4 linked regions of the Notamacropus eugenii genome follow. The main gene of each other region encodes a partner of the protein of the gene in region 2 in a complex. Links are inferred from orthologs where the notes say so. Each region holds a gene or a part of one and is shown on either strand. Other genes may lie near its edges.

Region 1 (7,075 bases), on a different chromosome or scaffold from region 2:
CACAGCAATGAGCTATCTGAGTCTACAATAGGCTAGCTGTAAACAAAATAAGTCTCAAATAGTTCAGTATTTCAGATTCCAACTAACCATTCTTCATCCTCTGCCATCCTTCCCTCATTTATAAAGAGGAACCACACTGACCTTAACTTTCCCCATCAACAGAAATAACTAAGAAATTAATTAAATAACTCTTTTATCACTTCATAAGTCAGGTAGGGGCAGTTAGGTGGTGCTGTGCTGAGACCTGGAGGTAAGAAAACCTGAGTTCAAACACTTATACCAGTGTGACCCTGGGCAAGTCACTTCACCTCAGTTTCCTTATCTGTAGAAATGAATTGGAGAGGGAAACAGCAAACCACTCCAATATCTTTGCCAAGAAAACTCCAGATGGGGTCATGAAGAGTCAGACACTGACTGAATGATAATATATCTGGAAGGAAGGGACAGGAGGAGGCTACCTAAGACCCTCCAAGGCAGACACAACTGAAAACCAACTGAATACCAATAAGTCAGGTGCAGTTCTGGGGGAAGAAAAGGACAAGTTTTAACAAACTAGCAAAGTTCCAAGAATGGCATGTAGCATTTAATAAGTCCCAGAACAGATGAATGAGAGGACCTAGGGATTTAATTGACGCTGTGCTTATATTTCTTTGAATAAAAATAGTTCTCTTGAAACTTCATGTTCAATAATAGGAAAAAACCCCATCTCAGATATTCTGTTTAGTAACGGGCAGTAGCTGGGTCCAGTTCTCTAGTCGCTTTGCCAATACCCAGTGGCAACTAGGTTTCAGGGGTTCTGCACCCTATAACACAGAGCAGGTATTAAAGGGGGGCTGCAATAAAAAGTCCCTCAACATTTTGTGCCTTAGCAAATTGTCTTGCATAAAGGTCATGCTTAGTAAATGGATATTCACTAGATGCATGAACATTTGGGAACTTGGAGATCACGGGGTCATGGTTTGAACTGAAAACGGCTCTTAGAGCCCATCTAGTCCAACCTACCTGTTCTACTGAGAAACTGAGGACCTAGAGAGGATTAGTGACTTGCTCGGGATCATACAAGTTGAGGTGGGATTTGAACCGAGGCTCTATGATTTCTGGGATAGTTAGGTGGTGCAGTGAATGAAGTCTTTAAAGCCTGGAGTCTTTAAAACCTGACCTCCCTGAGTTCAAAATCTGGCCTCTGACAGTTATTAGCTGTGAGACACTGGGCAAGTCACTTCATCCTACTTGCCTCAGTTTCCTTATCTGCAAAAATGAGCTGGAGAAGGAAATGGCAAACCCCTCCAGTATCTTTGCCAAGAAAACCCCAAATGGGGCCATGATGAGTTAGACACCCCACTGAACAATAAAATGCAAGGAAGGGAGGGGGTATTACCTAGCTCTAGACATCCACCCAGTCTAAGGTGGAGCCTGGAAATCATTCTTTCTTCCAGGGTTCAGAGCCCCTGGGGGCCCACCTCAAGCCAGCAAAGAAAGAATTAGTTCACTTTCTGAAATGAAAGGCAAGGCAGTAGCCTGGGGACAAGAGAAAGTGTGAGAGATCCTAGCCAGGTTCTCCCGCCTCAGGGCCTTCCCCAACTAGGCCCAACTCATGTGTTTACCTGTAGCGTCCCGGCCTTAAAGAGTAAGGTCCGAGTGGGCAGTACTGGCTAAACTATGCCTTTACAAACAAGGAGCAAACACAGCCTCAGCCCTCCAAGAGCTCACAAACTAATGCTGGCCTCGGTGGGGAGGGGAAAGAGACCACATGCAAACAATTGCACGTACCAGATTTATACTGGGTAATAGAAACAGTCACATCGGTCCGCTGGGCTCAGGGAGTACACTATATTTCTGACTCGATCTGGGGCTTTTACGTACACTATTCTACAAACTGTCTTGCTCGTTAGATAGTGCGCTCCTTGAGGGCAGTGATCGTATTCAGCGAACAGCTCAGTGTCTGCCACATAGCAGGCGCCTGATGAATGTTTGCTGCTTTACTTCCACGGTAAGAACTTAATAAATGTTGATGATGGGGTTGGAAAGGGGAGCCGGGGCATCTGCACCCCGATGATTTCGAGATCGGCGTGTTATACACCTTCAGGAGTCAGGAGGGGCTGGTCCCAGATCCCAGAGTGCGCGGAACCGAGGCTGACACGGCCAGGTGTGCCCCGCGCAGGCTGGGCAGGGGGCCTAGGACTGGGCTGTTGCGCTCACGGCGCGGTGCCCGCCTAGAGAGAAAGTCAGGCCCGGCGGCAGACTGAACAAACTTCCTCGCCAAGTTCCGTCGGCGGAGCTGGGCTCCGCGCAGCCCCAGGGGCTCCTCCGATGGCCGGCCAGCCCGGCCCGGCCCCGGGACAAACTGCCCCAATTTCCGCCCGCGGCAGCTCGGCTTGTCAAGCACTGCCCCTCTCCCCCCGAGGCGGGCACCGTCCGGGGGCCCCGCCGAACTCACCCATCTTCTGGACGTAGGGAGGGATGGTGCTGGCGATGCGCGTCCACAGGAAGAGGAGCAGTAGCCCCGGGCTCCGCAGGAGAGCCCGACTCATGGCCGAGCCCGCTCCGCCTCCGCATAGAGCGGGAGCCGGGCAGCAGCCGGGGAGGGCGAGGAGGAAGAGGAGAAGGAGCAAAGGGGTGGAGGAGGGGGAGCCCACTGGACTGGCCGGGCCGCCTCTGCTCCGCTCGTCCCGCTTGGCCCCTGGTGCGCCTGAGCTCCGGCTCTCCCTCCCTGGGCAGATGTGCAGGCCAGATGTGGCGTCCGGGCCACGGGCCGGGCTGGGGGCCCCAGAGGCTGGCCGCGGGGCTCTGCTCTTCTGCAGCGGCTCGGCTCGCCCTGTATGGATGTGTGTGTGTGTGAGTGTGTGTGTAGCTGTGTGTGGGGGTATGCGTGCGTGTGACTCACTCAACTTCTCGAGCCTGGGCTGGAGGGGAAACAGGAAATCTTCGCAAACAGCTGGGCAGGACCTCTCTCCGCTGCAGAAGCCGCAGCACTCTTAGCAGTTCCTTCTGGCTCCCCTCGGCTCTAAGTCCTCACTTGCCCGGGCGTCAATCACTCTCCAGGCCAACCCTTCAGCTTCCCCACCCCCTTCCCCCCTCTCACCCCCTCCTACCCACCCACCACACCCACTCTGCTCACCAGCCTGCACGCTCTCAAACTTTCAGGCCTTTGACGATTTTAGCGAAAGAGGTTGACCTTGGAAAGGGTCTAAATTCCAAGAACAAAACTTCAGCAGGGCCCCTGGCACGCAGCTCCAGTGGGAATCTAGGATCCTAGGGACTGTAGAACTGGCAGGGGACCTTGAAGTCCATAGGCCAGGGCTTCTTATCCTGGGGTCCATGAACTTATTTTTCTTTAGTATATTCTGATCAAGTTTATTTTGGTAAAAATTGGTTTCCTTTATAATCCGAAGTATTTTATACACTTAAAAACGATTCAGAGAACGGATCCATAACATAAAAGGGTTAAAATAAACCACCCTTGAACTGACCCAAATCCCCCAATTTCCTTCATTTTGCAACAGGGGCTGCAGGAGAAGTGAGGTACCCGAAGTTTCCAAGGCATTAATTGGGAAAGTCAAAGCTCTGCCTCCAGTTCCCGGCTTTTGTCTCACCGTGCCAGCTCTTCCAGCCCTTCCCTAAATGCCATTGGCTTTCCTGAAGTGTCTTTGACAACTGCAGGGCTACCGTGACTGATGCCTGGAAAAGAGGCCTTACCCTGCTCAAACCACAAACATTTATGAAGAACCCAGTTGTGTGATGGACATCACAGATACAAAGGCTGAGTTCAACAGTCCCTGCCTTCTCGTGGTCATTTCAGATCATACAGGGTGTCCTAAAGGCCTTCCTGCAGTTGGAAGCTAAAGTCTTATTGAGGAAGGGTGCAACAACCCGGTAGACTTGGAGCTGGTTTCTCTGTCTCCGCTGTCTCCCCTTTCCCAGTCATCCTCCACAAAGCTGCCAGATAGGTATTCCAAAAGCACAGCTCTGACCCTGTCACTCCCTTGCTCAGTGAATTTCGGTTGCTCTCTCTTACTTTTGGTGTCAAATGTAAATTCTTCAGCTTGGCATTTAAAGCCTTTCTCCACAAAGTTGCAAACTACCTTTTAAGCTTGATTGTATATAGTACTGCCCTTACTACATCCTACAGCATACTTACTATTGTTCACTTCCCATCTACATGCCTCTTTACAGGCTGTCTTCCAAGTCTGGAAGGCGCTCTCTTTTCACCTCTGCCTCTTGTAATACCTCGTTTCCATCTGTGTTCAGCTCACATGCTACCTTCCTTTTTCTTGAACCTTCTTTTTATTTTTAAGTTACGACATTCATTTCCACAAAACTTTGAGTTCCAATTTTTCTCCCCATCTCTCCCCTCTCCCCCACCCCATAACACCTTGCATTCTGATTACTCCTTCCCTCAATGTGCCCTCCCTTCTATCACACCTAGCTGGGGGCAGCTAGGTGATGCAGTGGATACAGCACCAGTGCAGGAGTCAAGAGAACCTGAGTTCTAATCTCCCCTCAGACACTTGACACTCACTAGCTGTGTCACCTTGGGCAAGTCATTTAACCCCAACTGCCACATCCTGGGTCATCTCCAATCATCCTGATGAATATCTGGTCATTGGATTCAGATGGCTCTGGAGGAGAAGTGAGGCTGGTGACCTGCATAGCCCTCCCTCACTTAAAACAAAGTCAAGTGCAAGTCATGTCATTATTTCTCTGATGGCATGGTCTTCTTTGGCAATGAAGGACAAGCATACGCTATCACACCCCACCCTTCCCTTATCCCCATCTTCTCTCTTTTCTTGTAGGGCAAGATAGATTTCTATACCCCATTACCTGTATTTCTTATTTCTCATTTATATGCAATAACAATTCTCAACATTTGTTTCTAATATTTTGAATTCCAACTTCTCTCCTTTCCTCCCTCCCCACTCATCCCCACTGAGAAGGCAAGCAATTGAATGCAGGCTATATATGTTTTGCAAAAGACTTCCATAATAGTCATGCTGTGCAACACTAACTGTATTTCCCTCCATCCTACCCTGTCCCCCCTTTATTCTATTCTCTCCTTTGACCTTGTCCCTTCCCAAAAGTATTTGCTTCTAGTTACTCCCTTCTCCCATTTGCCCTCCCTTCTATCATCCCCCTCACCCCACTTGTCTCCTTCTCTCCTACTTTCCTGTAGTGTAATATAGATTTTCATTCTAAATTTAGTGAACATGTTATTCCCTCCTTAAACCATATGTGAAGAGAATAAGCTTCACTTTTCCCCTCTCACCTCCTCCCTTTTCTCCTCCATTGAAAAAGATTTTTCTTATCTCTTTTATGAGTGATAACTTGCCTCATTCCATTTCTCCCTTTCTCCTCCCAATATATTCCTCTCTCACCCCTTAATTTTATTTTTTTATAGATATCATCCCTTCTGATTCAACTCAACCTGTGCTGTATGTGTGTGTGTGTGTGTGTGTATAAAATCCCTCTACCTACCCAAATACTGAGAAAAGTCTCAAGAGATCCTTTATGATTTCTCTTTGCTGTTTGCCCTTTCATGGATCTCTTGATTCTTGTGTTTGAAAGTCAAATTTTCTCTTCAGTTGTGGTCTATTCATCAAGAGCTCTTAAAGTCCTCTATATCATTGAGTGACCATTTATTTTTTCCCTTGAAATATTATACTCAGTTTTGCTGGGTAGGTGATTCTTGGTTTTAATTCCAATTCCTTTGACTTCTGGAAAATACTATTCCAAGTCCTTCAATCCCTTAATGTAGAAGCTGCCAGATCCTGTGTTATCCTGATTGTATTTCTACAATATTTGAATTGTTTCTTTCTAGCTGCTTGCAATATTTTCTCCTTCACCTGGGAACTCTGGAATTTGGCTACAATATTCCTAGGAGTTTCTCTTTTTGGATCTCTTTCAGGAGGTGATCAGTGGATTCTTTAAATATTTATTTTGCCCTCTGGTTCTACAATATCAGGGCAGTTTTCTGTGATAATTTCATGAAAGATAATGTCTAGGCTCTTTTTTTGATCATGGCTTTCAGGTAGTCCCATAATTTTTAAATTGTCTCTCCTAGATCTATTTTCCAGGTCAGTTGTTTTTCCAATGAAATATTTCACATTATCTTCTATTTTTTCATTCTTTTGGTTTTGTTTTGTAGTTTCTTGGTTTATCATAAAGTCATTAGAGTCCCTCAGCTCCACTCTAATTTTTAAAGAACTGTTTTCTTCAGTGAGCTTTTGAACCTCCTTTTCCGTTTGACTGATTCTGCTTTTTAAAGCATTCTTCTCTTCATTGGCTGTTTGGACCTCTTTTTCCAAATGAGTTAGCCTATTTTTAAAAGTGTTATTTTCTTCAGCATTTTTTTTGGGGGGGGTCTCCTTTAGCAAGCTGTCAATTTGCTTTTCAAACTCTTCCGTGGCCTGAGCCTATTGCATATTCAATATTGCATATTGCATTTTGGAGGTACTGGATGCAGAAGCCTTGACTTCCTCTGACAGTATGCATTGTGCTTCTTCATCTGAAAGGATTGAAGGAAATACCTATTCACTAGGAAAGTAACCTTCTATGGTCTTATTTCCCCCCCCCCCCTTTTTGGACATTTTCCCAGCCAGTTACTTGACTTCTGAATCCTTTGTCAAGAGGAGGGTCCTGGTCCTCCTCCTTACCCCAGGACCATGCTCAAGGCTGAGTTTCAGATCAGCTACTCAATTCCCCCAGGGGCTTTAGACAGCGTGCTTCACAGATGGATGCAGTAGCTGCCACCATCACTGCTGCCATCGCCACTGCTACTGCTGCCCCTGCCTGGGGCCAATGCTGGAGGGGACCCTGCTCTCCTCTTGCCCAGTTGGGAAAGCCCTTTCATTGATCTTTGAAGCTTTCTTTGACATTTGTGGGTTGAGGGATCTGAGACCCTCCCTGCTAGGAATTCTGCCCCAGAGGCCTGTTCTGGTCCTGTTCCTCCTGGTGCTGCATGGTCAGGGCTAGGCCCCGCTCTGCTCAGAGTCCTGTGCAATAGACCTTTCCTGTCAGCCTTCCAGGTTATCTTTGGATGGAAATCTCTTTCACTTTGTTGCTCTGTGGCTTCTGCTGC
Region 2 (7,656 bases):
CAGAAACAGAAGAAATCTTCATCCAAGACGTATCTTGGCCCAGAGCTGGTGGGCTAGGGTGTTAACTGGTGGGGAGCTGCAGGTAAGAGATGGGGCAGCACCTCTGCACCCAAGACCCTCTCATAAGACCTAGAAGAACATAATGTTCCATTGGGGGGCTTCATCTACCAGGGTAGCAGACTCACAGACCTTGACCTGCAATCCTAATTAAGGTCTCTCACTCCCTTCTTGGAAGGATGGAACTCCAGGAGTGCACTGTCCAGTACAGTAGATGAGCAACAGCCAGGATGAGGTCAGCATGAGTATGTCGGCCTGGGAGAGCAAGGACCATGAACAAATCTGCACCAAACTAGGCACTGCTATGAAGGTGGGCATTGCCATGAGGGTGCCAGGTGAAATCATTCTGTTCTGGGTCATCTTCATCATTGTCTACAACACCAGCTTTTACACCCACAAGTTCAAGGAGCACTTGTTTGAGCTTGCTGTGTACCTTTTCAAAAAGGTGTCCATCTACTCAGAGACCCCCTACGTCCTGACTCAGACCACCAGGGCAGGCTGGCCCCTGGGGGCACGTATACCTATAGATATAGACACATACACAGGGACAGATATGGACACAAACTGAGTCTCTTTTCAGAGAAAGAGAGAGACACATACTAAGAGTGACAGACACACAGATAGACATACACTGAAACAGACACTGGACAGAAGTAGAGACAGTCATACATGGCGACACAGACAGACAGACAGACATACACACACACACACACACACACACACACACACACACACACACACACACATCTCTCTCTTCTCCCCTGTCCCAGGACAGAACTCCAGATCAAGCCATCCACATCCCACCCTTGCCCTGCCCAGGGAGAGTTACCACATTCAGTTATTGAAGCCCAGGGCTATATCTCTCACTCATTCCCTCCTTGGTCACCTTCTCATTGACCAGATGACCTCTCCCTTGGACCTGTGGTTGCCCTTGACAGCCAGATATCCAAGAAAGATGAGAAAGACCAGGGCACGGTTTTATGCCTCAGAAACCTTTCTGCAGTTCTGGTTTATGTTCAGAACTGGAGTCAGATCCAGGTTTCCTGTGCAGGTTCTACCCACCCTGCCCCATTCTTTGTAAGACTAAGACCTAGATGGGAGGAAACCAGGGAATGCCGCACAGGAAACTCAACACCAAAGTGGGACTCGGATGAGAATCCAGGTCACTCCTAGGGTTTAATTTCTGCCCATCCCTCCTCCAACCACAGGTGGTGGGGATAAAATCTGCCTCCCATTTGCTATGACCTCTCCCCACATCCCTGCCCTGCCACTCACCACCAACTCTACTGTTTGAAAAACTAGACACAATGTGAACCTGATTTCAACATAAATTTGTTGAGAAAGAGAAGGCAGTGGCCCACTTATCTCCAGGAAAAAAAATTAAGGGAGGCAGCATCATGTATGGAAAAGAGATATTTGGTTCAGATCCTGACTCTCTCATTCATGTGTGAACATGAGGAAGTCACACCTCTGGGCCTCAGTTTCCTCAACTGTAAGATGAGACTATATGGCTTTGAAGGTCCCTGCCATGGCTAAATACATACTTCTGTGGCCATGATTCAATATGGAATCCCAGCAAAGCCAATGGTTCCCATGGTTCCTGGGAATCAGCAGGGAAATTCAGACTTATCCCCAGCCCCAGGGATGGAAGTTCCTAGGTCCTCTCATAGGCTCACAGGCCCACAGCTGTGTTACTGGCTTCCTTATGTATGTGTATGTGGGGGGGTAGGGGGGGGCAGGGAAGGGTAAGTTCTTAGCCTGTCAGCTCTGGACTCATTGTAAGAAGTGTCCCCTCTAAAGTTATTCCTTGACCCCCTCCTCTGGATTTGCCCTCACTTACTGTACTAAGTCCCAGGGAATTCTATCCCCTGGCCTACCTTAAAGGAAGAAAACCCCAGTGAATCTGAATGGAGGGCCTGATATTTCTGATGACCCCTAGCCACAGGTGCCAGTCACAAAGACTCTGGGAGCCAGCAGAAAGTAGCCCCCATCCTGAGGAGTCTTCCCTCCTGATTTGTGACCTTACCCAAGAGGCAGAGGCTGAGCCAGGGATGACTAGGGTATTCTAGGATTTGAGTGCCGACCTCCATACCCCACCCCCTTCTCTTTCCTTTCCAGAAAAACAGAATAAAATAATGGAAAACAAGGAGGGGGGAGAGCAGGATTCTAATAAATAGCCACTTGTGTGACCTCACACAGTTCCCTCTCTGAGTCTTAGTTTATTCCTCCTAAAAAGGACAAGATAGTTTCTAGGGCAGAATCCTAACTATTGATCCTGGCACCGGCAGCTATGATGGGTTAATGTGGGGGCAAAGCTGGCTCACTTGGAATACAGCTCTTTGGATGTTCTACAATTCTAATGAAAAAACCTGACCCATGATACCCCCTTTGTCCCCTTCCCCCTTTCTTTATCCCCAGTGGTCCCTCTTGGGAGGTTACAAGAAGTAGTTAATATAAAGAGATTTAATGGGAATTGGACAACCTGGGTCGTTAACCTTGGACATATCTCAAAAAAAAAGAAAGAAGGCAATTTGATATATGTGTTGGACACCTACACAGTGTCTACCCCTGCATCCGCTCTCAGTCCTTTATCCCCCATGTTCCCTTTATCGGGCCCTGCTTTTCAAATTGTTTCAGATCAAAAAGAAAAGAAAAATCCGGTAAAACTTTGGTCTTAAACTCTCAGTCGGTGTCAGAATCTGACCACCAGGGGGCAGGGTTGATCTTTTGATAAACCCACCCTCTTTCTGCTCCTCTGGAGCACCTCCAAGCCCCACAAAGCCCTCTCACTCCCCAGATCTTGTCAATGAAAAAATGGTGCCAGGATCTCTGAGGAGCAGAGCAGAATCCCGTTAAGAAGAACTGAATCACCTCGACAAGCGAGGCTTGGCACAGCCACTCCTGCAAACAGCTAGCACACACGATTCCCCAAAGTCCTTCCTCCAGGCAGGGTTGGGACTGCCCCTCCCGACCTGGCAGAGGAGGGGCCCCTTGGGTTACAGTTGGGTTTTTTTAAAGGAAGAATTGACAGCTAGGGGAGAGGGTGAAAGGAAGAGTGGAAGGAGCCCCAAGGAAAGAGGAGAGTTGACCAGGGTAACTTTCCAAAGGAGGTGTATTAGAAAACTGCCCTAAAAAAAGAGACTCCAGGAAACAGGGAAGAAAGCCCAGTACCACGTAGAATGAGAGGATTTGCAAAGTATTTTCAAATGGGATCTGCTTTTCCTGTGCCTGTTTAAAACATTAAAATTGTGCTGAATATGAGGCTGAGCTTGCTAGTCACTCCCTCCCCCCATCCCCAGCCAAAGACGTCATGGGAGGGAGGTATAAAATTTCAGCAGAGAGAAATAGAGAAAGCAGTGTGTGTGTATGTGTGTGTGAGAGAGAGAAGGAGAGGGAGAGGAAGAGGGAGAGAGGAGGGGAGAGGAAAGGAGAAGAGAGAGAGAGAGAGAGAGAGAGAGAGAGAGAGAGAGAGGAGAAAGAGAGAGAGGAGAGAGGAGAGAGAGAGGAGAGAGAGAGAGGAGAGATCAGAGGCAGCAGGGACGTAGCAGCCAGCAAAAAGCAAGAGGTAGGAGAAGAAAATGAGAAAGAAGGAATAACATTCAAGAAGGAGGAGTACAGTGAACTGCCTTGTTTTATTTTATTTTTATGGTTTTTTCTTTTTCTTTTTTTTAAAGTGAAGCAGTGAAAGAAGCAATGACCAAGGGAGAAGAGAAGCTAAGGTCCTGGTGACCCTGGGCGTCCAAGTGGATTACTGGGGCCAAACTGGAAGGAAGGCAGAAACCAGGTGCCTAGTCCTTCTGGTTACACGTAATCCCAGATCAGCAGCCAATGAAGACGAGAGGCAGCGAGTGACAAAAATAATTTCAAAAGCCCTCGAGGAAATGTAAACCAAGGGGAAAGTATGAATGGTGTGTCTGAAAGACAAGTGTGCCCAGCGCTTCCCTCTGTCCCCAGCCGGGGACGCTGGCCCGGCCCGGCCCAGCCCTGTCACCGGCCCCTCCTTTCTGGGGATCTGATTTTCTTCCTCTCTTCCTTCTTATTCTGGGCTCCCCACGGATACTGAATTTGGAAACTAAACACTGTTCTTAGTCTCTCTTCAAAACATCGACTTTGTCCCTCGTTGTCAAAGTAATATTTTGGGATCTTAGATAGCAGTTCTATTTATTATTATTTTTTCTACCTAAGGAAAACGCCCCCATTCTCCCCATTTCCCCCTCCAAACCTCCCCCCCACTCCCCACCCCAAGCCTTCCTTACCCCCTCTCTCCCCCTACTTGGTGCTCTTTACCTGGTTTGCCTGGAATCCCAGCCCAGCGGAGCCTGTGCAGACACATGGAGAAGGATCCCAACCTTGCAAGGCACAGAGCCTGCTTCTTCCTAAGCTTTGCCAACGCTTCCTGGAAGTCCTGAATCTCACTGCAGTGCAGTGAGTTCATGCACCCTCTTGCCAAGCCTCAGGCTTTGGGATCTGGGGAGGCTGCATCGAAAGCTCTGCCTGGTTTTTCTAACTCCTTCTGCACGGCTCCTGGTCTCCTTTGCCAGGCCCAGCTGCTCCCCTGGTCCCCCTTCCCCTGTTTCGCACATGAAGATGCACTTGCAAAGGGCTCTGGTGGTCCTTTCACTCCTGAACTTTGCCACAGTCAGTCTGTCTCTCTCCACTTGTACCACCTTGGATTTTGGTCACATCAAGAAAAAGAGAGTGGAAGCCATTAGGGGACAGATCTTAAGCAAGTTGCGGCTCACCAGCCCCCCCGAGGCATCAACGCTGGCCCATGTGCCCTACCACATCCTAGCCCTATATAACAGCACCCGGGAGATGCTGGAGGAGATGCAGGAGGAGAAGGAGGAAAGCTGCGCTCAGGAAAACACTGAGTCGGAATACTATGCCAAAGAAATCCATAAGTTCGACATGATCCAGGGGCTTGCAGAGCACAGTAAGTCCCAGCTCTCGGTTGGGTGTCACCTTGGGAGGGTCCCAACTTGAGCAGAGACTTGATAGAGAGAGTCCAGGGCTTCGGTTTTCTGAGCACCTAAGGCTCAGGAGGAGCTGGGAGGGAACCAAGACGATTCTGGGCTGTGTTCATTGCTTCTCCCCGAAACCCAGCCGCCTCATGCCAAGGGTAGAACCCATCCAGTTAAAATCCTTGACAGTTATTCATGGGGGGGGGGGGGGCACTGCACTGCCTGCGGTATATGCGTGCTCACATCTATATGGTGATACGGGTAACCGCAAGCATGTGTGCTGTATTAAAAAAAAAAAAAGGCAGAGTGAGCCAGAGGAGAAAGCACGGCTCTGCAAGTCTGGAGACCTGGATCTTTTCCCTGGTTTTCTAGAGCTCATTGTGACACGTCTCTCTCTTAGTTTTTCCAATCATTCTTTGGGGGAAATGATGTTTGTTATGGAATAAGGTTGGTTAAAAAAAAAACCAAACCCTTTTCAAAGATGATAGCTTTCCCTAGCACACTGCAGTAAGCATGTTTCATGTGCTGGATTTATGGGGGTGAGTACATATATGTTCATCTGTGTGCCCTCTATAAGCTCCCATCCAACTCTCCACTTGCTTCCCACTCCCTCCTAGGGAGTGACTGACTTCAAATGTTCACACTATCTGTGGAACACACACCCACCAGAAGAGAGAGGAGAGGAAGATTGATGGGCGAGAAATGGGTATCTTTTAGGCTTGTCTGGTGAGGGAGAGCAGGCCTGTGTTTTACTGTATATGTCAGTGAGATGCTTTGGGCTTTTTATGTGTATAATGGTACAGCAGACCTGGATGTGGGTGAGATGGGCAGATGGGTGTGTGTGTGTGTGTGTGTGTGTGGTGTGTGTGTGTGTGTGTTTATTGTCAGTGTGCTAGAAAAACCGGGGATCATCCGTATTTTTGATGCCTCTGTGTGTATGTACATGTGTGGAAGTCATGTGTGTTAACAGAAAGGGAATTTAAAAATCCCAATACAAGGGAAGGAAATTTGGCAGATGTCAAGAAATAAACTGACAGCTCGGGCACAGATGTGAGGGACTTGTGGGAAGACCTCTGTTTGCCCATCCTACCAGCAGGTGTCCTCATGGTCCCTGGCAAACTGGTCGGAGGGAGTCAGACAGACTTGGAAATTTCTAAAGGGGAAATGGTGAAAATCAGTGAGGCTGAGGGGCCAGATTTGCCTGTAGACTGATGATTCAGAGAGGCCTTTGGTGGGGGGGACTAAATAGAACCAGCAGAGTAACTGAAAATGCCTTCAAAGAAGGATATATTCATGCCCTGGGGAGGATTTTGTCTCCATTTAAAGATCACAAACTGTTAAAGCAAAGGAAGGCCTGATTCAGTCTTCCTTGTGCCAAGCTGAGGAAGCTGTGGCCGCTGCTCATGGGTAAATGCTGGCTAAAATTTTCTTACTCCCGCTTTCTGTGGCTGCATCTCTCTTCCAATGTGGCTGGAGTTTCTCAGATTGAGGCTCTGGACATAAAGGATGCCTCTCCCCTCCTAGGATCTCTCAGGGCATGCATGGCACCTTCTAGAGGCTGATGCTTCCCTAGGGGTCTGGAATTTCCAGTGCTAGGTGGCACCTGCATTACTGTATCCCCAATCCTAGGGAGTGGGTGGGGAAGGGACTAGAGGCTAGAGGAAGGAGGGGACAGACGAGAAGTGTTGTTTGTTGTAAAACTGATGCTGAAGGGAAAAAATAGGCATGTTATTAAAGGGTGGTGGAAGGGAGGGAAGAGGAGAGAGAGAGAGAGGAAGAAGAAGAAAGAAGGAGAAGGAGAGCAGAGAAGAAGAGAGAAGGAGGGAGAGAGAGAATTATTAATAGCAATCAATCAATATTCATTAAGTACCTACTATGCACCAGGCAGTATGCTAATCTGAAGTCACAAAAAGAAGCAAAAGAGAGCTCAAGGAGCTCACAATCTAATGGTAGAGATAACAAACACACCAGCAAACAAGTTCTATACAGGGATAATAGGAAATCCTAACAGAGGAAGACATTAGAGTTCAGAGGCATAATAATTAAAAATGTAGAAGGTGGGATATGGAACAGTTGTTCTTCAGTTGTGCCCAAGTTTTCATGATCCCAATACCGTCCATGGGATTTTCTTCGCAGATTCTGGAGTGGTTTGCTGTTTGCTTCTCCAGTGGATTAAGGCAAACAGAGCTGAAGTGACTTGCCCAGGGTCACACAGTTAAAGAGGGTCTGAGGTCACATTTGAACTCAGGTCTTCCTGACTTCAGACCCATGGTTCTATCCACAGAGTCATGTAGCGGCCTTCATAAGGAAGAGTAACAGTCCCTAAATAAAATAAGGACTTTGTAGGACCCTAAATCCAGAGCTGGAAGGAACAGGAGAGGTCTAGCTCAGACCTCTCCTTTCTGAGATGAAGAAACTAACGAACAAGAAGTTATGGGAGTTCACCAATGGCTTAAAAGCCACAATGCCAACTTAGACCCTCTGACTTCCCGGTCTAGTCTTCTCCCTGCTGCTTTACAGACTTTTGGCCAAAATTAAACCAGTGTGATTGTGTAAGAAACAGAACAGAACAAAAGCAGATTTAGGGAGAAAACCAGCAGGTCCAGAGGAGGCACCCATACAGTCAGTCAGTATATTC
Region 3 (7,303 bases), on a different chromosome or scaffold from region 2:
GCAAGGTGAGATATAGCATGGCACAACGTAGAGGGGCTTACATCCTGCCTTTGACACATACAAGTTGTGTGACCATGGATGGGTAAGTAACTTTTCAGCTCAGTGGGCCAAGGTAACTAACATAATACATTATATCCTAAGGGCTTACTCCCCCAGAAAAAAAACCAATCACAGTTTCTGCCCTCAAGGAGTTCCTGGGGAAGGAGAGGGAAGATATTGTGACATGTACATAGATAAGTAGAATCCAGGATAATGGACTAAAAGGGAAAAGTTACAGGCAAAATGAGCTTAACAATATTTGAGAACACTTTGTTGAGGGATTGAGGGAAGATGTCATTGGAAAAAGTTGCCCACGAGGTGAAGTTTTGAGTGGTGTAGGTGAAGAAGGAGTTTTAGTTTAGACACAGGGATCAGTTTGTGTGGAAATGTGAGAGGAGGAGAACACATTGCTCACCCTCAGAATCCAATGGATTATTTCAAATTCTATTATTAGTAGAATCTTGAATGACCTGAAATAGATCCATAAGCCTCCTTTAATTCCCCTTCAATACTCAGTTACTTTGGTAGAACAGACGTAGACAAAAATACATCACAGAGCAAAACGGTTATAGAAAAATAAGTTGTATGACTTTGGAGGAATGATGTCAGAACATAGGTGGTGGCCCATAGGTGTGGAGTGAGACATATGTTTTGGGGGCCTTGGTCATTTTGTGCATTTGTTATACCTGAATTTACTTATTTCTTACAAGGAATTGTTCTATAGGGGAGGTATTAGGAACTTACATTAGAGTAAAAAGGAGAATTATATAAATAAAACATGTTTTAAAAGAAAATTCCTTTAACCTTATCAATTTCACTAAAAGTCAGCAGTCAATGTTTACATTTCCCTAGTGATCATTTTTAAATAGATTCTCATTTGAATTTATATGGTGACTAAGATGACACTTTCAATTTATACAATCCAGCTTCAAAACTGAAGCACAAAAGTCTGCTATGCTGCAGTGATCTGACCTGATCCAATCCTGTGTTTGTCTTGAGTGCTGAGCCTGCTTAGAGACCCATAGTCCTCCTGGGAATTATGAATTCCAATGCTTTTTCCTAATTGTAGCACTGCAAAGTCTCAAGGGTGGCTGCATTCCTAAGGTCTGCAAAATGATCTCTGGAAAGTGTGCATGCTGCCTTTTAAGATGGGGATGAAGGGTTTCCTCTTTTGGATAAGGTTATTAAGAATGCACAGAGCTGGGACAAAGCATCTGCATCCTTGGGTGAGGTTTAAAATGGGGGGGGGGGTGTTGGAAGAGCATTAAAATTTGAGATTCCTGTAGGGTGTTCTGTACCAGAAGTTTGTTTATTTCAATTCAATCCGACAAGTGTTTTTAAGCACCTACTATGTATCAGTAACTGTCTTAGGCACTGAAAATTGAGAAGCAATATGTTTAATAGCCTTTGGCATCAACGAACTTGCAATCTGCTTTGCGGGGGGGAGGGAAATCAAACAGAATCACACAATTAAGTAAATATAAACTATACATAAAACCATACTTGAAGAACATCTTATAGAATTGAAGTTCCTTGTGATCAGGAACTATTCCATTTTTCTCTTTGTATCCCAACAATTAGCATTGCAGCTGGGACAAAATTGGAAAGTAATAAATGTTGTTTGATCAACTGGGCAAATGTAAGGGGGGAGGGGTAGATTGGAGAGGAGAGAGACTGGATGCAGGGACACCAGTTAAGAGGTTGGTATGTGTACATCCTTCGTTGTCGAAGATGACCATGACTTGCGCTTGACTTTGTTTTGAGTGAGGGAGAGCTGTGCAGGTCACCAGCCTCACTTCTCCTCCACAACCATCTGAATCCAGTGACCTCATCAGGATGACTGGAGATGACCCAGGATGAGGCAGATAGGGTTAAGTGACTTGCCTAAGGTCACACACAGCTAGTGAGTGTCAAGTGTCTGAGGTGAGATTTGAACTCAGGTGCTTCTGACTCCTGCACTGGTGCTCTATCCACTGCACCACCTAGCTGCCCTAATTAAGAGGTCATTGCAGTAACAAAGCATGAGCTGATGAGAGACTGAATTACGGCAGAGACTAGGTGAGTAGAGAACATGGGATAGGTGAGAAAAGATGTTATGGAGACAGAATGGACAAGACTTGACAACTGATTGGGTACGGGGTGTAAATAGCAGTACAGAGTAAAAGGTTGACTCCAAGCCTGAGAGACTATAAGGATGATGGTGCCCTCTACAGAAACAATTAAGTTAGGAAGATGGGTTGATTTGGGGGTGGGGGGAAGCAAATGAATTCTGTTACAGACCTGTTTCATTGTAATCCCCAGATTTCACTTTACCACAAGTTTTGTGACACAGAGTTTTCCTATGAATAGAATTTCTTCCAGGGGCAGGAACACCTGAGTGCCAGAAGGCAGGGCAACCAGGGTCAGGAGGGAAACTGTTGCCAAGCACCTTCTGGCTTCTGTTTTCTCACCTACTCTTTGGGCCAAAGGCACAACACCTGAAGTGGGGGAGGTTTCTGGGCATGGGGCCACTTAACTTGCTACTTTCCACTACTCCAGTTAGCAATTAGGCAAGAGAAAACAGAGCCGCCTACTTAGTAAATGAGTATGGAAACTATTGGTCATCAGCCCATGAGCTTTAGATCTAGAAGGATCCTCAGTGATCATAGAGTTAGACCCCTTCATTTTCCAGAAACTTCCCAGTTTCCAGAGGAAACTGAAGTCTTACATGAGCATCATATTTGAGTGGAGAAGTCAACGGATTGGAAGTCTCAGAAGATCTGGTGGATCAGATGCCAGCCCTGCTCCTTATGATCTGGGTGACCTCAGACAAGGCATGTGATCTCTCTAGGCTGAACAAATGCTCTCTAGAGTCCTTTCTTCATAATTCTAGGTCCTGTGACCCTACAGAAAGTACTTTCGGGAGGAATTTAGGAAGCAGGCCTGTAGTACTTGAAGAGGACCCCTAGGGGAAGATGTGGAGAGGAGTGAAGAAGATGAGAAGTCCTGGGCCACTTGGGGTCCTCATTATGGAAAGGAGTTTCCAAAGTAATTAGGAGAGAGAGGGGGAAAAGGGGAGAGGGAGAGAGAGAGGGAAAGGGAGAGGGAGAGGGAAAGAGAGAAAGAGAGAGAGAGACAGAGACAGAGACAGAGAGAGACAGAGACAGAGAGACAGAGACAGAGAGAGACAGAGAGAAGAGAGAGACAGAGACAGAGACAGAGAGACAGAGACAGAGACAGAGACAGACAGAGAGACAGAGACAGAGAGACAGAGACAGAGAGGGACAGAGAGACAAAGACAGACAGAGAGACAGAGAGAGACAGAGAGTGAGAATGAGGGGGAGGAGCAAAAGGAAAGAAAATGTAAGGATGCCAGCCCGAGCCCCCTGCCTCCAACTCCCCTCCCCTTCCATTTCACCAGACTGTGCAGATGGGGATACTGATAACTTTTTTCCTTTACCTGTTCCAAGGGGTCCCAAACATTCTAAATGCTTTTGGTGAGGGTAGTCAATTCAGAGGCAGGGGGACCAGTTAACTTTGCAAGAACAAGCCTATACAACGGATACCCTTCGAAAGAAGAACATTTGCAGGGAATGAGGGTGGGGCATGCAGAGGTTCCAGCCTGGCCATAGTTGGACGGTGGCAGTGAAAGGGCTTGGGGGGCAGGCTGCATTCACCACTTCCCCATTTTTCTCTACAGACTCCAGGTCTGGAAAGGTCAATGGATCTGTCTACCTCTCGATCTATGTCTGGTATCTCTCTGTGTGTAGGTCTTTAAACTCTGTTCTCTCGGGTCGCTGTGGACCCAGGCTACACTGAAGTGGGGCGAAAGCTGAGCCACCACTTAATGATGGGTGAGAACCCGGTACTACCTGGAGTGGAGTGGCTGAGGCCAGCTGGGGGAGGGGATGGCCGCGGGGGAAGAACCAGGAAGAGGGCCACACTCCTATGCTACTGACACCCGCCTGCCTAGGACCCTCAGAGCTGGGGAGCAGGGGCGCATGGTGTGATCGGAGGATGCAGGAGAGCGTTGACAGCTATGGGGATCCCCCCACAGTGGGGGAGCAGCTCCTGGTCAGTGAGTACATCGGGATCAGCGGGCGGTCTGCCGGACCAGCTAGGCGTGGAGGCGAGCTCTGTGAACCGCTGCTGCTCAAGCTGGAGAAACGAGAGGGAGGCTCGGGAAGCTGATGGGGCTGGGAGGGGGTGGGGGGAGATGCTGCTGAAGTTGCGATGTGGACCGAGTTCAGCCACTCAGACCCTGGGGTAACGGGGAGGGGGGAGCAAGGGAGAGAAAACACATTCACATCCAGACGCACTGGGCTGAGCAAAACAAAGAAAGAGTGTGGGCCGGTGACTTCATGCTTTACCAATGTCCCGCCCACGCGCCCGCGGCCGCCGCGGCCCCAGCCCAGATCTGCGTGAAACCCGCGCTGGTCTCTTAGCAACCGGCCAGCCGCTGAAGTTGCCAGGTCCCAGGCAGTCCCAGGCTGCCCCGGGGCCCCGACGGGACGATCTGGGCCTAGCCAGGACCCCCTCCTGCGCAGCAGCCCCCTCCCCCAGATCCCCGCTGCTGGGAGCTGCCCCCCGCTCCGGCTGCGCTCTAGGCCCCTGGACTCTGGGGGCTGCAGCGCCTGGACAGCGGCGAGAGCCTCTGCTTAGTTCTCTCTTCCTCTCTGGAGGGGGAGGGGGGGAGGAGAAGGAGGAGGGGAGCCCATCCCCCTCTTACCTCTTCCCCCCGGGACGTACCCGGGGCCCCTCTAGTCCCACCACACCCCCCGCGCCCGCCCCCTTCACCTAGTCTCCAAAGCAGCCTCCGCTGCCCGACTGCCTAAAAACTCGACGGCGCCGCTGCTTGTGCGCCGGGACTGGAGCGGGTCCCGCGCGCGACTTCTGCCACCCGGGAAGTGACACCGATTCCGTGTCTCCTCTGCTCAGCGCCAACCCAAGAGGGGCTGATCTTTGGGGCCGTCCATTGCCTCCCTCCACCAGGGCCCAGAGGCTGAGGTGAGCAGGAGCTGGGCGCCCCAGGAGTACAGGTACGGCGGGGCTGCCCACCTGTGGCTCGGCTGATCTGCCCACCTGTGGCTCGGCTGATCTGCCCACCTGTGGCTGGGAGCCTCTTCTTCCCAGCCTGGGACTGTCGGTTCTCTGCGCCGGGCTGAGATCTCTCGGCCCGGCGCCTCTCCCCCCAGCCCCCGCCTCTCCCCCTGGGCGCTTTGTTTGGGGCCAGCTCCCGGCGGAGCTGATTTATGCCGCAGCAGCTCCGTCGGGGGCGGCCTCGGGCAGAGGCTGGGAACAAAAGCCCTTTGTCCCGGGCCGACCGAGCGGGGGCTGGGGCGCGGGCAGCTGAGCCGGCCCCCGTGCGCTGGCTCCGAGGCTCGCTCTGAATGAAGCGGGACCGCCCGCCGCTGCCCTTCTCCACAGCCGCCGCCGCGGGGCCCCAGCCGGGCTGAGTCCGCCACCCCTCTCCGCCCCCGCCTCCGCCTCGCCTCGCCTTCGCGCTCGGTCCAAGCTCTCGAGCCTATTGTGCGAAGCGCCCGGATTCCTGCGGTCGTTCTGACATGCTGTGCCCCGCTCGGGCCCTGGCCCTGCTCCTGCTCCCTGCCAAGAGGGCGCCCCGAGGCACCGACCCCTGCCAGGGGCGGGAAGAAACGTGGGACTAAAACTTGGCCCCGAAGGACTTCCCCGCCGGGCTACCCCGGACCGAGGCGGGAGACGAGCCCCAGAGCCTGAAGACAGCCTCCAGGAGGAGCCGCCCGCCGGGCGCTGTGAGCGATGTGGGGCTCGGCCTTGGCTCTCTGGACTGCTGCCGGCATGGTATGCCTGCAAAAGGGCCGCCGAGCCCCGGGGCCCGTGCTCGGGGCCGCCTGCCTCTTCTCCATGGCTTTCGGACTAGGACAGAGCGGCGGTAAGTGGTCTGCCTTTGTGGGCGGAGTGGCAGGGGTCTCGGGCGCGGGGGGCACACTGCCTGCCAGTCAGCTGGCACTGCAGCCAGATAAAGAGAAGAAAGCGCTGGCTTTATCAGGAGAGAGGCTCCGGCACCTGGACTGACTCAGGCCAGGTTTCAGCTAGTGGCTAGCTGCGGAGCTGGCAGGTCTGCGCGTTTCACAGTTGCCCCCCAGGAGGTCCCCGAAGCAGGTGCCTCCGGCTGGGCCAGGTGGATCACGTTCCCTTCGCTCAGGGCCAGGGATTAGGGACAGCACAGTGAGAAAGCCTGGAACTGGAGAGCCTGGAATCCAGCTTCTGTTTACTAAGAGACTAAAACAAAGTTAGACATTCCAGTGCCTCCTTGGAGAAGGACACTCTACAGTCTATGTTCCCAGTCCTCATTTACTGACCCGGAGACCAAGGACTGACTATTCGATCGGATGTGGGGGCAGTGAGGCAGATTTCCTTGGTCCTACATCCATACACGGAGAGGGCCAGTTAGCCCAACCTATTCATTTTACAGATGGCGAAACTGAGGCTCGGCGAGGTTAAATGCTTTACCCAAGGTCACACCGGCAATCGTAAGTGGAAAAATAGGAATGAATCCATGTACTTTGACTCCAAATCCAGTATTCTTTCCACTCCAGTGCTCTGCCTTTTAACTGAGAACTGTCACTTAAACATTATAGCTACCATAATAAACACATTACTGCAAATCCCCGTGAGGGAGGAAGAGGGGAACAGCACTGGCTCTGAAATCTGAGGGCTTGGCTTTCAATCATGCCTCTGGCATTTATTTGACTTGGGCCAGTCACTTATAACTCCATGGGTTCCAGCTTGCTCCCCTGGAAAAGGAAGGGGCTCCTAGGTGACTTCCAAAGTCCCATCCACCTTTAGAACCATGATCAATGATCTATCCCTCCTACCCCCTGCCACTCTCATTCAGGTAGTAGCACCAAGTGGTCCTTAGCCCCATGGAATACTAGGGTACATACTACACGGCCTAGCCTCTTTGTGCAAAAGACCTTTGCCTGGAGCCCCCCAATCCTATAAGCTAGAGAGCACACAGATATTAATATCCTATTTTACAGAGGAAGAAACTGAGGCCCAGATAAGTAAGGTGAGTTGTTTCAGAGCTAGGATTCAGAGCTTTGGGACCTCCCTGACTCCCTCACCATTCACTCTGGCTTCCTCTCTTAAGTCCTGATATCAGGACCTGAAGGATCTCTTGGTTTGAAAACAGTTAAGTTCGTCTCACTTATACTCTTAACTTTGCCAGGGTCTACGTTTTTTGAATTTTGATGTTCACCTTTACGTCAGCCCTAGGAACACCTTCCTTTGACCTCCCAAGAGC
Region 4 (6,993 bases), on a different chromosome or scaffold from region 2:
AAGGCTGCAACATTGAACTTCCTATGCCTATAATGAGATTCCTTGATAAATGTAACTACAGAGATGATTTTTGTTCAATGACGTTTTCATTATTAATACATGTGGCATAATAAATTGGAGATGTATATTGCCAAAGGTGCTTGCCATTGTCATGGGGACTATCTTGTAGGGAGTCCAAAGACAAGGAAGATTTCCTGTAGATAATGAGGCCCTCCAAGTGTTCTTATTTGAAGATGATATTGGGTTAATTATATCAAGCCTCAGATTTCTATATGGCCTCCTAAAGAATATCAGGATAAAAGATGGCTAGTTTAACTCTCCATGTAGGAAAGAACATGAGTTAAAAATTCATTTCAACAAACACCTATTAAGCACCTACTATGTGTGAAGTACTCTACTAGATATTGGGGATATAAAGTTAAAAATTAAATACTTCTTGCCCCCAAGCAGTTTATATTCTACTTGGTTGGTTCAATGTGGGTCTGGATAATGATGTATGTATCATTTGTGTGTGCATATGTATATGTGCATGCACACACTGACACAGACACTCAGACACACATGTGGGGAAGTAAGCACTATAGGGGAAAATGCCTGTTGTCTACTGTGGACCATAATATGCAGTTAGGTGTGTAGTCTATAAAAATATTCTATTAGTATATATATATACACATACATATGTATGTATGTATCTTGGAAAGACATCACAGATGAACAATGTTCCCCTTCCAAGAACACAGAAGAATCATGGAAGATTAAATGGTATAAATTGGTTACATAGTTGGAAGTATTCCTATCAATCAGAAGAAATATTGAAATATTTCCAAAGCGATAACCTATATAGTAATCAAAGATAGTTCAAAACTACTTACATGTAATATACATAGATTACATAGGAAAACAATTACCTTGAATTACAGTGTACAGTTTAAAACTGCACTAAGATATTGGGAACATCCTGCATAGTTTTAATTTTTTAAAAAAAGTTCAGTGACCCCATTAACAACTCCTGCTCTAGATATTTCATTAATTATCCTAGTTTGCCTAAGACTCATATTCCTGAGGTGAAAAATAGCAGACTTCCTTTAGCTGTAGGATTTTACTTTCACTTCCAAGAAATGTTTGATTACCCTTTACTTACAACTTGTGTTAGGAAAAGGCCATTTGCCCTTCCAAGCATCTTGCTCCTCACCTCCTTCCTCTCTCTTAGTGACTAAACAGGGAAACAGAAAGATGTGACATACAAAGACATCCATATTTTCATAATAGCTCAAGACTGAGATCTGAGGTGGTGGTATCATAGAATCAGTGGATTTGATATATTTTCCAAAATATCATCCTAGAATAGCTGACATAAAATGCATTTCATGAAAATTGACTTGAGAATTTGAGGATTATTATTGTCTTTAGTCAATAAACGTCTATTAAGCACACATATTAAGCGCCAGACACTATCTTCAGTTCTGGAGATATATAAACAAAAAATAAGACAGTCACTATCGAGGAAGCCAATTCACAAAAGGAAGCTGAAAAGGGGAAGGGGCGTCTGGGACCCACTCGGAAACCAAGTTGGGCAACTGATGGAAAATAAATATTTGAAAAGTTCTGAGTTGACTGCTTAGCTTTCCAGCCCCTAGCTCCAAACTAAGGGGAGAGGCAACTCAGGAAACAGAAGAGGTGTTGGATTATCAAGATTATCAAAAACTGAGTCAGTCCACATGACGATGAGATTTCAGGTGAGGAATTTATTCTGGGGGAAGGAATGAAGTTCCTGGAGTTGAAACCAAGCAAAACAGTTGATTCTAAATAAGACTAGTAAGATGGAAGCCCTTATGGAGCCTGGAGAGATACAATTAGTCAGTGTCTATCGGAGACTTTCTGAGGGAGAGAAACACTGTATCTAGTCCACAAACACATTCTAATCATTAGAAAAAAAGCTAGATCAGCAATTAGAAACTTTTGAGAGTGAGACATCAAGTCGCCGAACCCCTAAGAAAGGAGATGGTTAGGAGCAGAAGTGTTGACTGCTTTCCTTTCTGTAAGCAGACGGCACGCAAAGGTCTCTAAATAGAGGTGGGGAGGAGTGGGGGGGATTGTGTCTCAGGCTTTTGTTGTGTCAGACTCACAGTGACCCTACTTGGGGTGTTCATGACATAGATACTGGATTGGTTTACCATTTTCCTCTCCAACCCATTTTTCAGATGAGAAAACTAGGGCAAACAGGGGTAAATGACTTTCCCAACGTCACACCGCTAATAAGCGTCTGAGGTCACATCTGAGCTCAGGTTCTCCTGACTCCAGGTCAGGCGATCTATTCACTGCTGCCCTGTGTCGCAGGCACCAGTGAGTTAATTCATTTATCTTAACAATTTAAACTCCTTAAATACAAGCCACTCTGGGGAGGATTAAAAGCTATATTCATTTGCATCAGCCCTAATCACTATTACTCCCACTCTTACTAGGCTTTTAAAGTCTCCAGATTTAAAGGTTTTCTTAACCACTTTTATTAATACATTATCGCCCAAACACATTTTAAGGGAATCCATAAATGAGGACAAGTTCCTTATCCAAGTCAAAAAGTCAAATCAATAAGCGTTTATAAAGCTCACCTACTTTGTGCCAGGCACTAAGGGTACAAAGTCAAAAACTCCTGATCCTCAAGGAGCTCGTAGTCTAATGGGAGAGACAACAAGTAAACAACTATGAATATATGTGTGTATATATATATATATATATATATATATATATATATACATATATATATGTAAACAGCATAAAGTGGAGATAATCACTGAGGAGAGGTATTAGGGGGAACTGGGAAAGGCTTGTTGCAGAAGGTGGGATTTTAGCAGTGACTTGAAGGAAGCCAGGAGACTGAGGCAAGGAGAGATCATTAAGTTTAAAAAAAAAAAAAAGGATTGAAGCCAAATAAATGGAAAATAGATATTGAAGCTTTCTGTTAAAAAAAAAAGTTTAGCGTTAAAAAACTGCATAGTATTTGTATCGAAAGTAAAAGTATTTTATTGCAGAATCAGAAGTCTGGCTGCTAAATTATTTTGGCACATACTGAAGTGAAGGTGGGAGGAGTGTCTCTCAGCCGAGAAAATCAAGAATGGAAAAGTAGTTCAGCTTATTTTCGTCTTGAAGGAAACCAAAGATTCCCCAAAGAGGCACGCTGGATACCCGTGGTACTGCAAACACCGCAGGTTTTAAACATTAGCCACTTGTGGTTGCAGAACGGGCTGCCTCGTCTCGGCGGCGAGAGTTCCCTCTACCCCTTCCGAGTTTCTCCCGAGTTTATTTGACTTCATGAAAGGGGCGAGCCAGAGAGGCAAGGGCTCTTGAGTCCCGGGGGGTCTCGGCGATCGTGCGTGCGGTGTAGACCGCCTTTCCCCCATCCCGCCGCTGGAGTGGTTAGAAAACGGGGCGGCCCCATTCCGGCCTGCTCGGCTCTCCGGGCTCAGTTAGTAAGAGTGGTGAAGCGCAGACGGCCCCGAGGTCACGTCTCCGAGGGCTTCGGGGGAAGGGGGGCCGTCGGAGGAGGAATGGGGAGTGGGGACGGAAGAGGGCCCGGAGCTGGCGGCAGCTCCGGAGTGGCCCAGGGCGATAACGGTCCCCTGGGAAGGGGGTGCGGCCGCCCCGGTCCCCGTGCACCGAGCGGAGAGAGGCCCCCAGTCCTGAAGTACTTCCCCTCCGCGGGCACAACATGCTGGGGCCCCTTGGGCGCCCCCCAGCTCTAGGGACCCCAGAGCCCCTGGCTTCGGCGGCCGCTTCCTCTTCCAGTGCACGGCTCACTGCTCACCCCCCCCCCCCCCCACTTCTTGCACCATCCGAAACCTCCGGCGTGGGGGGACGCGGGGTGAGGGGGTGGGGCTGAGGAGGGGGCGGGGGAGTCCTGGGAGCCTGGGAAGGAGGCGGGGTGGGAGGGGTGAGCCTGTGGAGGGACTGGGAAGGAGGCGGGGGCCCGGCCGTTCCCGGCGCCCTCCGGCCCCGGATTGGCTGCGGCCCTGCGGGCCGGGCTCTCGCCTCTCTTGTTGTTCTCCCGTCTCGGCAGCTGCCGGGAGGCGGGGCCGGGACGTCCCTCGCAGCCAATGGGAGGGCCCCCCCCGAGCAGTTACAAAGGGGCCGAACGAGGCCGCGGCGCGAGGCGAGGCTCTCTGGTTCCTCGGGGCGGGGGCACCGAGACGCGGCCCCGGCCCCTCGAAAGGACCCGACGCGGACTACGACGCGGGACCATGGAGGCGGCCGCGGCGGCGGCCGTCGCGGGGAAGACGACCGTTCCCCCCCGCTACCAGATGTTTCTCCTCCTGGCGGCCGCGGGGCTGGTCCCAGGGGCGACGGGTGAGCCGCAGGAGGGGGGAGGGGCCGGGGCGGCGGCGGAGGCGGACGGGGGCGCTGGGGCCGCGGCCCCTTTCTCCAACATGGCGCGGGCCCCGGGGGCGCCGGGGGTGGTCGGGCGGCTTGCGGGAGACGGAGGAGGGCTCCTCCCGGGGCTCCGCCGCCGCCTCGGCCAGACAGACCGCAGACGGAGATTGTGAGGAGGCGGGGGGCGGCGGCGGGGAGCCCGGGCTCGCGGGGCTGGCCTCTCCGCCCGGGGCCGGGAGGGTGTCTGGCGGGGGGTGTCGCGGACTCCTGACCCCCCCCCCCCAGCCCCGCCGGAGCCTCCGGCCCCTCCTGCCCCGAGTGCGGACCTCCCCTCCCCTATCTTTGTGCTGGCCCCGGGAGCCGGGGGCTAAGTAGGTGTGAAGCGCGGCGGCCGCTTCCCGGGTGCCCGGGGTGGGGGGGAGGGGGTGCGGGCGAATTCCATCACCAGATGACTAAGAATTATTTTCGCCCTAGAAACTTGTCTGAATATTTGCTCGGCGTTTCGAAATGTTTGAATGGGAATGACTTTTTTTTTTTTTTTTTACACATTCATCCAACACGTGTTGGGAGAAGATTTGTTTTTCCTCCTCTTGCTGCTAAATCAGATTTCTAGTGGGAGAGAGATGACTATCACGAGGACGGCGGCAGGGGAGCTGCCGCTCTGGGAGGACCCGGTTTTCTGGGACCCGAGCGAGGGATCGTTTTAGGAGGTGGGGAGGCATACCGACTGGGCAGTGCTTTTTCGTGCACGCACAGAAACGCCCTCAAAAAATAAGTAAAACCACCCAAAAAAAGCCCCTAACCCACCTAAAACCTCCCATCTTTGGAGCTGAAGAGTGACGTTGGTGGAAGGAGCTCCGTCCCTAGCGTTAGGCTAAGCCCTGCAGATACAAAGAAAGGCCAGCCTGGGTCCGTGCCCTGGAGGAGCTCCCTTCCAAACAGATAACGTGAATTACCTAGTGCTTAATCGTCTAATCTGGGCTGGAAGCTCCAGCCCTGGGAGGGATCTGGAAGGCCAGTGGGGAAAGCTGGGTTGGAGATGAGACTGGAGAGTCCAGGAGAGGAGGGAGAACTTTGCAGGTGTGAGGATCGCGTGAGAGGCACCAGTAAGTAGTGGTGTAGCGAGATAGTGTAGAGTTAAGTTGTAGCAACGCTGCAAAGCCAGGCAGCGTTTTCAGCTGCTAGGGAAGGCGTTTTCTATTTGGTCACGTTCCTGTGCTCTGGCTAAGATGCTTCCAAATTGGGCTACCCTGGGCTGGGAGGTAAAGTCTCCTGTGCCTTGGTTTTCTTATCTGTCCGTTGAAGGGATTGGGCAAGATTATCTCTAGGGCCGCTTTCAAGTACTGAGCTCCGATCCTATGAAATTACGTGTGTGTGTGTGTGTGTGTGTGTGTGTGTAATTCTGTTTGTTATTGATTTTCTTTTTATATCTTTTAAGTCACCTTGGAAGCAGTTGACCTAACAGTATTTGATTATTTACTCTGTGGATTTACCTCCACAAATTTTAAAATGTCAAAGCGCTTTTCTGCTTTCCAGTGTTCCGTTTATGGCTGTCAGTAGATGTTAAGGGATTACTATTCTTTTTAAGATGGGCTGCAAAAATGCTTGCTTTCTTTTGATGTGGATACCCTTTCCCCACCCCCAAACTCATCTTTCCTTTTGTGTGATTCTTTTTTGTATGTTTCCATAAACTTCCTATGGAGCTTTTTCCACAACAGCCCTTTCTAGGGTTTTTTTTTTTTTAACCAGTACAGCACTTGGGCTGTCTATCTGTTAATCCTTGCTTTTGCCACATGACTAGGACACCCCTACTCCTCTCCTGGTCCTTTATGTTATGGATGACATATTTTATGAAAGAATTCTACATCTGGCTTATATTTTATATTTCCATTACCTATGGAAGTAATATTTAGAAGACAAATTGCTGGAAAAGTAATAAATGTATTCTAAAGGTAAATATAAATTACTTGTGAATTATCCATACCATTTAACGCGAAAAGTTGATTTTACTGCTTTTTAAATATTAACATTCCAGCTTTGTATTTGGGTAACATTTTTTGAGTGCCTTTTCTGTGTAGAACATTGCATAGACATTCAGAAGTCACAAGTTCTATGTGCTGGACTATGCATAGAAATGAGCAACTTGGAGCTGTGGAAAGGGCATCGATTGGCCTTGGCATCAGATGATACCTGACCTATCACTTCAGGCCAAGTCGTTTAACTGTTAAAAAATGGAAATCATAATTATACTCCCTCCCTTACCAGATTGTTGTGAGGAAAGAGCCTTTAGTATTTTATAAATAACTTCCTATACCTTGGAGGTCCTTTGGAGGGAAGGCACAAACCCAGAAATCAATTACTTAACAAGTATTTGTTAAGCAGCTGCTATAGACCAGGCATTATGCTGGTAATATACCTAAAAAGAACGAAACAATTCTGACGAGAAGTTTATAGTCTAATGGGAGAGACAAGTATGTATATAGATATATACAGTATAAATACAGATATATACAAAGTTGTAAAATACAAGATATTTTAGCAGTTGGAGGAAATAATGAAAGGTTCATGCAAAAGATGATCCTTGAGCTGTGTCTGAAAGTAGGATGGGCAGTGGAAGGAAGGAGAGGT

What was found.
Region 1: the proteins of TGFB3 (region 2) and TGFBR2 are in contact, whole or in part, in a crystal structure (PDB 9B9F), measured with the Homo sapiens proteins. The link is inferred for Notamacropus eugenii from reciprocal best matches to the Homo sapiens genes TGFB3 and TGFBR2. Residues at the interface, in NP_001316868.1 of Homo sapiens: Arg325, Lys331, Trp332, His334, Tyr390, Tyr391, Val392, Gly393, Arg394; in NP_003233.4 of Homo sapiens: Leu50, Phe53, Asp55, Ser72, Ile73, Thr74, Ser75, Ile76, Glu78, Val100, Asp141, Glu142.
Region 3: the proteins of TGFB3 (region 2) and ITGB8 are in contact, whole or in part, in a cryo-EM structure (PDB 8VS6), measured with the Homo sapiens proteins. The link is inferred for Notamacropus eugenii from reciprocal best matches to the Homo sapiens genes TGFB3 and ITGB8. Residues at the interface, in NP_001316868.1 of Homo sapiens: Gly262, Asp263, Leu264, Arg266, Leu267, Lys268; in NP_002205.1 of Homo sapiens: Ser156, Ala157, Ser158, Asn161, Arg206, Gln210, Cys211, Tyr214, Leu216, Ser247, Gly248, Asn249, Ile250, Asp251, Thr252, Glu254.
Region 4: the proteins of TGFB3 (region 2) and TGFBR1 are in contact, whole or in part, in a crystal structure (PDB 9B9F), measured with the Homo sapiens proteins. The link is inferred for Notamacropus eugenii from reciprocal best matches to the Homo sapiens genes TGFB3 and TGFBR1. Residues at the interface, in NP_001316868.1 of Homo sapiens: Ala301, Leu302, Asp303, Asn305, Tyr306, Tyr350, Leu351, Ser353, Thr357, Thr360, Leu364, Leu368; in NP_004603.1 of Homo sapiens: His39, Leu40, Thr42, Lys43, Phe55, Met70, Ile78, Phe84, Val85, Lys91.

What each region holds. Positions count from the first base shown.
Region 1 is NC_092874.1:24,448,995-24,456,069, forward strand, and holds the start of TGFBR2 (TGF-beta receptor type-2), read right to left. Parts: upstream 3,010-7,075; 5' UTR 2,532-3,009; coding exon 2,438-2,531; intron 1,991-2,437; exon of another isoform or gene 1,800-1,990; intron 1-1,799. UniProt on the Homo sapiens protein: Transmembrane serine/threonine kinase forming with the TGF-beta type I serine/threonine kinase receptor, TGFBR1, the non-promiscuous receptor for the TGF-beta cytokines TGFB1, TGFB2 and TGFB3.
Region 2 is NC_092878.1:59,219,863-59,227,518, reverse strand, and holds the start of TGFB3 (transforming growth factor beta-3 proprotein), read left to right. Parts: upstream 1-4,638; coding exon 4,639-4,990; intron 4,991-7,656. UniProt on the Homo sapiens protein: Transforming growth factor beta-3 proprotein: Precursor of the Latency-associated peptide (LAP) and Transforming growth factor beta-3 (TGF-beta-3) chains, which constitute the regulatory and active subunit of TGF-beta-3, respectively.
Region 3 is NC_092874.1:12,854,809-12,862,111, forward strand, and holds the start of ITGB8 (integrin beta-8), read left to right. Parts: upstream 1-4,296; 5' UTR 4,297-5,796; coding exon 5,797-5,929; intron 5,930-5,944; exon of another isoform or gene 5,945-6,472; coding exon of another isoform or gene 6,473-6,530; exon of another isoform or gene 6,531-7,303. UniProt on the Homo sapiens protein: Integrin alpha-V:beta-8 (ITGAV:ITGB8) is a receptor for fibronectin. It recognizes the sequence R-G-D in its ligands.
Region 4 is NC_092872.1:65,598,492-65,605,484, reverse strand, and holds the start of TGFBR1 (TGF-beta receptor type-1), read left to right. Parts: upstream 1-3,977; 5' UTR 3,978-4,091; coding exon 4,092-4,341; intron 4,342-6,993. UniProt on the Homo sapiens protein: Transmembrane serine/threonine kinase forming with the TGF-beta type II serine/threonine kinase receptor, TGFBR2, the non-promiscuous receptor for the TGF-beta cytokines TGFB1, TGFB2 and TGFB3.